Linked DNA regions of Pelodiscus sinensis. The protein of the gene in region 2 purifies or fractionates together with the protein of the main gene of each other region. This does not show direct contact. Links are inferred from orthologs where the notes say so. Each region holds a gene or a part of one and is shown on either strand. Other genes may lie near its edges.

Region 1 (3,742 bases), on a different chromosome or scaffold from region 2:
TGATCGTACCTACTGCAGCCTCAGGCGTGCCCATGACACACTCCACTTCACTTCCCAGCTCAGAAGTTTGGGGTTATGAATACTTTAGGGAAATTTTTATTTGGACTAGGGATTTAAAATTCTGCTTAATTGGTTAACCAGTTAAATGTTATGTGTAACCAGTTAACTGATTAAACAAGGTAGGGGTGGGGGAAGAAGAGTGAGGGGGGATTTGATAGCAGCCTTCGACTTCCTGAAGGGAGGTTCCAAAGAGGATGGAGAGAGGCTGTTCTCAGTAGTGAGGGATGGATGGCAGAACAAGGAGCAATGGTCTCAAGTTACAGTGGGGGAGGTCTAGGTTGGAGATTAGGAAAAACTATTTCCCTAGGAGGGTGAGGAAGCACTGGGATGGATTTCCTAGGGCGGTGGTGGAATCTCCATCCCTAGAGGTTTTTAAGTCCCGGCTTGACAAAGCCCTGGTTGATTTAGTTGGGATTGGTCCTGCCTTGAGCAGGGGGGCTGGACTTGATGACCTCCTGAGGTCTCTTCCAGCTCTATAATTCTATGGGGGGAGTGGCCACCACAGCCAGGCAAAGTGGTCTCTGTGCTGCAGATCAGGCTATTCCAGCTCAGCTGCTTCGGACCCCATGCTGGGCTTCTGCCTCCCTGCCCAAGCAGGCTGGGAGTTGGCAGCCTCGCACAGGGCAGAAGGGAGCTGGCAGCCTCCCTCTCCCATCTCCCTACTTCCCCCATGCAAGGCTACCATCTCCCAGGCCATAAGCCTCCATGGGTTGGGAGCCAGCAGCCCTTTCCCACCCCACTGCTGCTTCCACATACCCCAGCAAGGCTGCCAACTCGGCCACAGGTGGGGGGCTGCTCCCAGGTAACGTTAACCATAATCCAGTAAGCGTCACCCATTAATGGTGAAGCTCACTGGGTAACCGGTTATCCATCCACATCCCTAATTGAGACATGTCAGTTTCTTGTGGAATCCACAGAGACTACAAATACTTGATTATATCTAACATGACTCCACCACGACAGTATCTGAGCACCTCACAATCTCCAGGGTAATTATCCTTGAAACACTCCTATGAAGCTGAGCAGTGCTATTTACTCCATTTTTACAGTTGGGGATACTGAGGCAGGGCAAGCAGGTGATTAGCCCAAGGTTACATAGGAAGTCTGTGGCAGAGCTGGGAAATTGAATTCAGAACTCTCAAGTCCTAGGCTAGGGCCCTCACCACTGTCCTTCTCTGCTACACACATCTAAAATATGATCAAGCCGGAGTCTATCACTATCCCAGTCTCAGCAACAGCTGTGGCACTAAACTCTAGGGATGTAATTTTTTTTTTAAATTATTAACCGTAAAATTGGGGCTGCTGTGGGGACACCAGGGTTCTGCGGCTCCCAGCAGCACTATGAAGAGTACCAATATGTAACCAATGTAAGCAATGCAGCTCTTGCGCATGCGCAGTGCGGGGCCGGCGAGCAGCATTCGCTGCCGTTTTCAAGCCCTGTCTATGAGCCTCCCCCACCCCAGGCAGAGGAGGAATAAGCTACAGCTCTGCCCTGGGAGGAAGAGGACTAGCTGGCATGTGGCCCCGGTATGGGCTGGGCGGGGGGCGTGGTTCACTGTCCCAAGCAGTGGCACTTAGACCACTTTTGGAGAGAAAGAATGAGTACGCACTACACACTTAGCGACAGCCAGTTGCCTTTGAGCTCAAGCTATGTCGAGACTCATGCACTAAGCTCCAGAAATCCCAGGTTTGGTTCTGCATGTCGGCGTTACAAGTGCGGAAACAGGGCTGTCATCCCACGAGCACCTCACAAGTGGGGAGGGGGAATGAAAAGCTCCTCCTGTCAGGCGAATGGGCTATGGCGTGTGCCCTGGGAGACAAAAAAAGGTGGGAAAGCCCAGCTGACGGGGTGTAGCAAACTCCCCCCTTCCCCTGCCCTCCAGTGTGTGTGTGTGTGGGGGGGGGGGGTGTCCAGGACAGTTGTTCCTTGTAAGAAAGCTAAGTGCTTGGGTGACCAGGCAGGAGCGCTTCAAATGCCACCCAGCTGATTAGCAAAGCGCACACAGAGGGCATCACGTGTTACTGCGGGTGGTGCACATCCGCCCGTGCCCCGGTGCAGGTAAGATTTATTCCGCACACAGATGTAAAGAGACAGCAGGAGCACTGCTCCGGGGCCCTCCAGCGGGGGAAGGCGGGGGCAGAGGGAAGGGTCGCTCACCGATGAGGACGGCGCTGTCCAGGCTCCGGAGCTGGCTGAGCAGCTGCCCCCGCGCCTGGAAGATGGGCAGGCCCCTGCGCTGGGTCTCCCCGGCGGGCGGCGGCCGCAGCATGGCCCTGCCGGGCGGGGCCGCCAGCTTCAGTCTCTTGGCCGGGGGCCGCGCGCCGTCCTGCGGCATCGCCCCCGGGCCGGGACCAGCTCCCAGGGCGGCGGGGAAACACGCGGCCGCCCCGCCCCGCCCCGCCCACGTGCTCCAGCTGCCGGCCGCGCACAGCGATTGCCGCCCGGCGGCGCGACGGCCCGCGGGACTACAGCTCCCAGCGTGCACCGCGGGCTCGGAGCGGGGGAGGCTGGGAGTTGTAGTCCCCGCAGGCCCCGCAGGCCAGGGGCGGTCCATAAAACGATGGAAGGCAGTAGAGGGCGGAGCTTCCATTGTGACGCTTGTGTCGCAGTTACAAGGAGGGGGGAGTCTTTAAAAAAATCACCCCAGAATGTTGTCATGTATGGACAACTTATTCTACCCCGTCCTTCTTGTTAAGGTGTGATTTTACTCCCCCCCCCCCAAAGGAATCACGTGCCTGCTCCCCACCATTGAGGGTGTTTGCCCCACTGCTCTCTCAGCTTTATACTGATAAAGCCCTACCTGGAGGAACGGTTTTAAGCCTTCTCTAAGGGGGCATCTACACTGCAGGGCTTAACTCGAAATAAGACACGCACATTGAGTTACGTTATGTCAATTGCATATCTTACTTCATAACTGGGATCATCTACACAGCACTTATTTCGAAAAAGAGCACTTTTCCTCCAACTTCCCTTAGTCATCGCACAATGAGGGTTACAGGAGTCAGAGTAAGACATCCTCCAGCTTGCCCGTATTTTGTCACTATGTCAAAAAAATTGTCTACTGTGTAGATACAGACTAAATTATTTCAGAATAGCGCTAGTTATTTCAAAATAGTGTTGCAGTGCAGACATACCCAAAGATATGTATTTACACACCATAACAAGGCATCTACTCACTCAGCCTATTGCCACAGGCACATTCACATGCTGTTCAGCATCTTGTCTTCAATCCTTTAAAGAATGCAAGAAAGATAACTACCCAGAGGTAGAGCCCTGGGAAGTCTATACTCAAGCCTTCAATATAAAGGATGATGGAAAAGGGGCACTTCGGAAATCAGAGCTGTCAGGAACAAAAAGTGGCAGGATAGGATAGGTGGAAAGAACAAAGATCTAATCATAGGAGTTAAAATGAAGAGGATCTGAAATAGGAATGTAAAATCCCATTTAATTGGTTAACTGGTTGAACTTAATGTTTAACCAGTTAACCTAGGAAAAGAGATGTGTCCAGGCTGGAGTGTCCCTTTCCCACTCCCACTGCCAACAGGGCTTACTCCACCCAGGCTAGAGTGGTCCTGCCCAAGGCAGGCACGGGGCTGCCCCAGTCTTCATGGGTTATCCCGAACCAGTAAACCTCACTCATTAAGAGTGAGGCTTATGAGTTAACCAGTTGGCCATCCACAC
Region 2 (3,742 bases):
GTGGACACAGACTAACACAGCTCCCCTCTCTGACGACTGGAGATGGCAGCACCAGTCAGTTTTCAAACTAGAGAGGTAAATAGTGGTGCCCCCACAAGACCTGTCCTGGGATCAGGGCTGTTGCACAGGTTCAGAAACGGTCTAGAAAAGGGGGTAAAGGGCGAGGTGGCAAAGTCTGTAGCTGATACAAAACTACTCTGGATAGCTAAGTTCAAAGCAGACTGGGCAGAGCCTGGGCAACTGGCAACAAAACAAAATGGCAAATGAAGTTCAGGGCTGATAAATGCAGAGTCAAGCGCATTGGGAAACATGGTCCTGGCCATAGGCACCAAATGATGGGTCTACGCGATGGCGTAACCTCGTCCCGCTGCGCCTTCTGCGCGGCCACCGCTCAAGAACAACGGCTCTGAAAACAAGGACTCAGCGTGCAGCGGCAGGAACAGCGAACAGTGGTGGGAAGCGGCAGGCAAGGGACAGAAACGACACAAGATCTCACAGCCCCCGTAGAAATCCATGGTACGCCCATGCTTTGGCTACAGCCTGCAGCTACCCAGCCATGGAACCGGCAAAGAGACAGAGAAGGGCAGGAGAGATGGGGTTCCCGTAAGCTGAGCACTTGGGCTTCCGGCCAGGAGAGGTTAAATTCCACCCGGCTAATTAGCACAGTGCCCATGCGTGTGTGTCTGTTGGTGGTGCACATCCGCACATGCCTTGGTGCACAGAACAACATTTATTCCGCCTTGGGTGGGAAACATGAGACGGGCCATTGGGCAGGGAGGAGCAGGGCTGTGGCAAGCTCCCGTGCCAGGCGGACTCAGGAGGGGGCGCTACAGGCAGCCGCGTGCAGCCGGGCGGGCGCGCCGCCCTGCGGAACTCCCGGCCACGGCACGGGGGCGGGGCCACGCGGCCAGGGGGCGGGGCTGTGGGTGGCACGCGCAGAAGGCGCAGCGGGACGAGGTTACGCCATCGCGTCACGGCGCGGAGCCTGCGCAGACCCCGCCCCTTAAAGGGGAGGCGGTGAGCGCGGGGAGCGGGGGTTATGTGGCGGGTCCCGCGCAGGCGCCGACTCCTCCCCTTTAAGGCGCAGACACGTGTGCGGCCGCGGAGGCCCGGATGCTGCGAGAGGCCGGAGCCGGAGCAGGTAGCGGGGGGGGGCGCGAGCCGGGCGGGGGGGGCATGGCGAGCGGGGGGGGGCCGGGCGGTCTGGGGGAGCAGGGCGAGCGGGGGGGGGCCGGGCGGTCTGGGGGGGCGGGGGGAGCAGGGCGAGCGGGGGCGGGCTGGGGGGGCAGGGGGGGCGGGGGGAGCATGGCGAGCGGGGGGGGGCTGGGGGGGCGGGGGGAGCATGGCGAGCGGGGGGGGGCCGGGCGGTCTGGGGGAGCAGGGCGAGCGGGGGGGGGCCGGGCGGTCTGGGGGGGCGGAGGGAGCCGGGCGGTCTGGGGGGGCGGGGGGAGCAGGGCGAGCGGGGGGGGGCTGGGGGGGCGGGGGGAGCAGGGCGAGCGGGGGGGGGCCGGGCGGTCTGGGGGGCGGGGGGAGCAGGGCGAGCGGGGGGGGGGTCGGGCGGTCTGGGGGGGCGGGGGGAGCAGGGGGAGCGGGGGGGGGCCGGGCGGTCTGGGGGGGCGGGGGGAGCAGGGCGAGCGGGGGGGCCGGGCGGCCTGGGGGGCGGGGGGAGCAGGGCGAGCGGGGGGCAGGGTGAGCGGGGGGGGCGGGCGGCCTGGGGGGCGGGGGGAGCAGGGCGAGCGGGGGGGGGGCCGGGCGGCCTGGGGGGTGGGGGGAGCAGGGCGAGCGGGGGGGGGGGGCCGGGCGGTCTGGGGCGCGGGGGGAGCAGGGCGAGCGGGGGGGGGCCGGGCGGTCTGGGGGGGCGGGGGGAGCGGGGGGGGGCCGGGCGGTCTGGGGGGGCGGGGGGAGCAGGGCGAGCGGGGGGGCCGGGCGGCCTGGGGGGCGGGGGGAGCAGGGCGAGCGGGGGGCAGGGTGAGCGGGGGGGGCGGGCGGCCTGGGGGGCGGGGGGAGCAGGGCGAGGGGGGGGGCCGGGCGGCCTGGGGGGCGGGGGGAGCAGGGCGAGCGGGGGGGCGGGTGCGCTGCGGGGCGCAGGGGCGGTCCCTGCTGGGGGGGGCGGGTCTGTCTCCGCCCGGCCTGGTCTGACCCTCCTCGCCTCCGCCACAGCCCGTGTCCCCTCCCGGCCGGGAGCAGCGCGTCCCCCTGCCAGGGCAGTGGCCCCCCGGCTCCCCCGCTGCGCCGGGCCCGGGCGCTCCCGCCAGCGCAGATGCCCCCGCAGGGGCCGGCTGAGCCCCGGCTCTGGAGGTGAGAGCCCCGCGCCGCAGGGGGAGCCGGGGGCCGGGGCCCTGCGGTGCCGCCCAGGAGCTCGCTCCGCTGCCTGTGTCCGGCCGGGGGTGGGGGGGCTGCGCCCTGCGGCTCTTGCCCAGGTGGGGCCGGGTGGGGAGCCTGAGGCCCGGGGGGTCAGCCCCCCCAGATGGGGGTTCCTCCCCACGGCACTGGGGAGCCCGTGTTGGAGCTCCAGGCCCAGCCGCCCCCCATGGGGCTGACGCACAGACAGCGAGTCGCCTGGCCCCAGGGCCCTGGGGCGCGAGGGGCCTTTCTGCTTAAGGATGCTCCGTTGCCGTTACCTAGCTAGCCCCATGGGCCGTGGAGCCGCTGCAGCGGGACTGAGCCTGTCTGTAGCGGGGGCTGCTCCCCACTGGGACCCCTGCAGACAGGGGGTGCTTAGCAGCAGCCTCCCCATCCCCCCTGCCCTTATAGAAGCAGTGGGGGGCAGGTGGAGCCCTGGAGACAGTTCTGGGGAGAACTGGTTTTTAAGCCAGCTTCCCCCAGCACTGGTTCCTGCCCCCCCCCCCCCCCCGCTGTCTGTCCTAGAGGCAACGAGGGGGGGAAGCAAGGAGTCGACTAGTGTCCGACACCCCTAGTTCCCACTGCAGTGCTTGATTCAGAAATCTAGCCAGCGCCACGTGGGGGGAGCAGGGGCTGCTTCAGTCCCCCCTCGCGCTGTTTCCCCTCTGCCCCCCCAGAGGCAGTGCAGGGGGGACCGGCTTTTCAGCTGCCCCCCATCCCCAGCACTGACTCCTGCCTCTGCCCCCCCCCCCCCCCCCCCCCGCTTGCTGCCTCTCTCTGATGGAGGCAGCAAAGGGGGGGAAGTGACGGGTGGAGTTGGCATTTGCTAGCCAGCCAGTTGCTCGCGCCCCTATTTCTGCTCCTCAGCCGGGGGCCGTGTCTGTGAGGGGTGTTTCTTTTTGCTGCTTGCTCGTGTGGCCCCCGACCCTACCAGGGTCCCCAGCCCTGGGGTAGAGGGAGCTGCTGGTGGGTCTGGGAGCAGTGTGGAGCGTGGCCTGGTGCTCTTGGGACCCATAACTCCTTTCCTGGCTCTCCCTGCTTCGCGGAGCCATGGGCTGTCTCTGGGCAGGTCCCAGCGTAGCTGGCAGAGCGGAGACGCTCCGCTGGCCCCGTGGCAGCGGGAGGGCGGCGCTGACCGGCGTGCTGAGCTCTCTGGGGGGCTGGCAGGCCAGGGCTCCTGCAGACTGACCCTCCCCCCCCCCGTGTCTGACATGGCTCTGGGCGCTCTGTGGCAGTTCCCGCCTGGCCAGACTCCTCCTGCTCTCCCCTGCAGAGAGACGCGTCCCCGGGTAGCCAGCTGAGCCGCCCCCGCTGCGCCATGCCCATCGTGGACAAGCTGAAGGAGGCGCTCAAGCCAGGCCGGAAGGACTCTGCTGAGGATGGGGAGCTGGGCAAGCTG
Region 3 (3,742 bases), on a different chromosome or scaffold from region 2:
GAGAAGGAGAAAGACAGTTCCCACATTCTCCTTGAACACCAGAACCTTGGGGGGCCCAGGCTAGTAGTTTTTGCCTGCTCCACCCCCATGGGGGGATGGTGGGAAGGCTGGAGCACCAGCGTGGGCTCCCCAATGCTGAGGGAAGGAGGGAGCCCCCGCATTCAGCCCCCAGGTTTTAGGTTTCCCATCCCTGGCTTAGCTTATGACAGCCCGAGAGAGTAAGCTGCTAGGAAACCTCAGATCACTGAGATTCCTTCAGGCTGACACAATGGTACCAGCAGGCACCCAAAGAACTGCATCCATCTTTCCTCCACCAGAGAAGAGACCTTGATACAGACTGGGGGAGACAAGTTTGCCACCATAGGACACCACACAGCTCTGCACCAACTGAACAAATGCAATACGGCCACTCATAGATAATACTCCAGAAAACAAACCTAGGAATTAAGGCTCCTGCCCAGAACCATCTTAAGAGGTCTTTTGTGTGAGGAGATGCACAATACTCACATGAGGTGTAATTCGATCATGGAGAAGTGACATCGGCAGCTTGCTTTGCTTCATGACCACTTTGTATGGATCCTTCATAACAGTCTCCATTTCCTCTTGGAATTTCTGCAGGGATGACTGCTTGATCACACGAGTATTTCCTGGTATGGAAAAATAAACTTTGCACCTTCACATGTTCCCACACTGGGCAGAAAGCACATGCAAACCTAGTGTTTTTAGACTTCTTTTAGGAGTCAGAGTTGGGAACCCATGCTCTGAAAACGAGTCCTCTTTAAGGCATCTCATGTTGGGCCCCCAAAAATCAACCACCACATTAGAATCTTTTGGCTAGTGGATTTTGTTCCCCAAGTAACAGGGTCATACTATCCACATCATCCTTAGAATACCTAAATTACTATTATTTAAACCTTGCTGAATTGTGAGATAGAAACACTCACCAAACCATTTAATATTTGGTTCCACTCTTGCCACTGTTCCTGGTGCCACTGTGGACTGGTACTGCAAAGGCCTAATCACTTTACCACGATTGTTTCTAAGAATGAAAAACGAGAGCTTGTGTAAACACATAAGCAGCAGAGCCACACAGCAAGGGTCATAGTTCACGCCTTCCAATACAAAATCCACGTGATGGTCTGTCTGAACGAAAGGCCCTAAGGAAACAGATGCTGTATACAAAAGGGCACTTTTGCCGGCAACAGTACTGTTTGGAATGGCAAAATAATCTTTATAACTGAGACAACAGAAGAATTTAGGTCAAGCAGCATGTTCTCACCCAGACTGGAATTTCACCAGGATGCCGGGGTTATTCTTGCAAATATGCCACAGGGCCCTGTGTGACCAGGATATCAGTTTGCCATCCATGTACTGACCAGGACCAAATCTGTTCAGTTTATGGAGAAAACATATGACCTCTGGCTTTAGGGCAGCCAGTTTTACTGCACAAGGCATATTTGGAGGGAGCCGTTATGTCTGGCAGCATGTGCCAGTGTCAATGGAACAAGCGCACACAAACATTTGCTCCCGCAATGAACCTTTCCTCCCACATAAAGTCTATCAATACCAGTGAACAGCTGGAAACAATAACTGCCTATGGCTCATAATCAGATTAGGAGATGTCTGGGTTACCCAGGCAGGAGACAAGAATAAGAATTATCAATGAGTCTTTATTGGCATGCCAAGATATACAAGTGCTGCCAAGCCCCATGAGGTTAGGGTGGTGAGTTGGGAACCATCTAAGAGACCTGCTGGAGAGTCACTCCTGCTCCACTGGTGCAGGAAAGCGGTGGTTCTTCAGAGCACAGGTCTGTCTGTGTACCTGAGGGTCTTGACTCAAGGCTGCCACCTCGAAAGTTTTTATTCTGGGTTCAAATGCACAGGCAGGATGGGGACGCTAGAATTCCCATTGTCCTGGCTCCACTGCAGTGGCCACCCACTGGAGATACTCAGCTGGCCCACCAGGACAGCTGCCAGCCTCACCTGCGCTCCTTCTGCCGGTACATGTTCAGCCGCCGGATGGTCGCCCTGTCCCGCACATTGTGGCCCCCAGCGCCCAGCACCCGATCTAGGGAAGCAGGGCAGAGTCAGTGGACAGTGAAAGGTCTCACTGGGGGGGAATGGGCCAGGGTGAGGGTCTGGGGGAGGAAAGAAGGTGGTAGCACTATGGGAGGGGGCGGATGAGAGTTGTGGCACTATTGGGGCGTGCAAGGGGTAGGGTTGCAGTGCTGTCGTGAAGGGAGGGGCGAGGACTGTGGGGGAGGGTTGTGGTGTGGGGGGAAGAAGGGGACGGGGTGGAGGCGACAGCTGGGGGGGGAGAAGAGAGGACAAGACACGGGCGGAGGGCACTGCCAGGGGGGAGGGCAGGAGACCGCCACAGGAGGCAGCACTGGAGGAGGGGGGGGAAAGGAGATGGGACGGGGGCGGAGGGCGCCGCCGGGGGGGGGGGGGAGAAGAGGGGACGGGACGGGGGCGGAGGGCGCCGCCGGGGGGGGGGAAGAGGGGACGGGACGGGGGCGGAGGGCGCCGCCGGGGGGGGGGAAGAGGGGACGGGACGGGGGCGGAGGGCGCCGCCGGGGGGGGGGAAGAGGGGACGGGACGGGGGCGGAGGGCGCCGCCGGGGGGGGGGAAGAGGGGACGGGACGGGGGCGGAGGGCGCCGCCGGGGGGGGGGAGGGGAGGAGACGGGACGGGGGCGGAGGGCGCCGCCGGGGGGGGGGAAGAGGGGACGGGACGGGGGCGCCGCCGGGGGGAGGCGGTACCGGGGTTGGTGCTGGCGCGGGACGGGTTGATGCTGCTCCGGCCCTTGTAGCGGGGCTTCACCATCCTGAGGCCGGTGTCTGGCCGGGGCGAGGGAGGGGCACGAGCGCGGTGTCTCGGACCGGGCGCTCTCGCGTCTCTCGCCGGCGGCCCCACGCGCGCGGGCAAAGCCGGAAGCGGCCCCACGAGCACTTCCGGCGGCGAGCGGGACGTGTTTCCGCCGGCTCTTAGGCCCAACCTCGGCTCCCGGTCACCTTGGCAGCCGCGGCCCCGAACAGCGCGGGGGGCGGGATACTGCAGCGTGACGTCACCGCGGGCCGTGGTCACACGGGCTCATGACATCACCCACTCCCCTGGCCTCACTGTGCCGTGGTGCCATCACCACCAGCCGTGGTGACACGGGCTCATGACATCACCCCGTGCTCTGCTTAGGTTGAGCCATCCCGTGACCTCACTGTGTGGCTAGGAACCTGGGGTCATGACATCACCATATGCCAGAATCACTGTGCCGTGACGTCATCACAAGCCTGCTGAATCCGGGTCATGACATCGTTATGCTATGACATCACCGGATGGTTGGGTGGCCTGTTAATGGTGGTTTTAAAGCTGCTGCCTGTTAATTTCTTGTGCTCGGGGAGGTGCTAACTAGCACTTCCCTGTTCACTTTCCGCACACCATTCATGGCTGTACCAACCTTGATCCTATTCTTCCCTGAGTCATGGCTTTTGCAGGGTGAACAGTCCCGCCACCAATGCAACTGTACTAGGGTTGCCAACCCTCCAGGATTGGCTGAGAGTCACCTGGAATCAGCAGCAATCTCCCGGCGACTCTTGAAAAAGTCATTTTAATAGGCTAGTTTAAGAAAATGACATTATCTCATGTTGGTTAAAAAAAATCCCGGGATAGCTTCAGTCAGCGTTGGCATCCTTAAGTTGTGCTGCTGTCATTCTTTGATGAAGAAGCTCTAAAAGGAGGGAGAGTTC

Evidence for each region. Proteins that work in one complex are often made in the same cells at the same time.
Region 1: the proteins of ubiquitin carboxyl-terminal hydrolase 36 (region 2) and DHX33 purify together in Homo sapiens (affinity purification with mass spectrometry; 5 studies listed by BioGRID and IntAct, counting the BioPlex papers as one, with this or other methods). This does not show direct contact. The link is inferred for Pelodiscus sinensis from reciprocal best matches to the Homo sapiens genes USP36 and DHX33.
Region 3: the proteins of ubiquitin carboxyl-terminal hydrolase 36 (region 2) and GNL2 purify together in Homo sapiens (affinity purification with mass spectrometry; 3 studies listed by BioGRID and IntAct, with this or other methods). This does not show direct contact. The link is inferred for Pelodiscus sinensis from reciprocal best matches to the Homo sapiens genes USP36 and GNL2.

The regions. Positions count from the first base shown.
Region 1 is NC_134731.1:25,903,004-25,906,745, reverse strand, and holds the start of DHX33 (ATP-dependent RNA helicase DHX33), read right to left. Parts: upstream 2,491-3,742; 5' UTR 2,397-2,490; coding exon 2,219-2,396; intron 1-2,218. UniProt on the Homo sapiens protein: Implicated in nucleolar organization, ribosome biogenesis, protein synthesis and cytoplasmic dsRNA sensing. Stimulates RNA polymerase I transcription of the 47S precursor rRNA.
Region 2 is NC_134730.1:29,157,147-29,160,888, forward strand, and holds the start of ubiquitin carboxyl-terminal hydrolase 36, read left to right. Parts: upstream 1-1,021; 5' UTR 1,022-1,141; intron 1,142-2,160; 5' UTR 2,161-2,298; intron 2,299-3,616; 5' UTR 3,617-3,661; coding exon 3,662-3,742. UniProt on the Homo sapiens protein: Deubiquitinase essential for the regulation of nucleolar structure and function. Required for cell and organism viability.
Region 3 is NC_134735.1:9,880,092-9,883,833, forward strand, and holds the start of GNL2 (nucleolar GTP-binding protein 2), read right to left. Parts: upstream 2,978-3,742; 5' UTR 2,826-2,977; coding exon 2,762-2,825; intron 2,069-2,761; coding exon 1,984-2,068; intron 1,040-1,983; coding exon 945-1,039; intron 648-944; coding exon 508-647; intron 1-507. UniProt on the Homo sapiens protein: GTPase that associates with pre-60S ribosomal subunits in the nucleolus and is required for their nuclear export and maturation.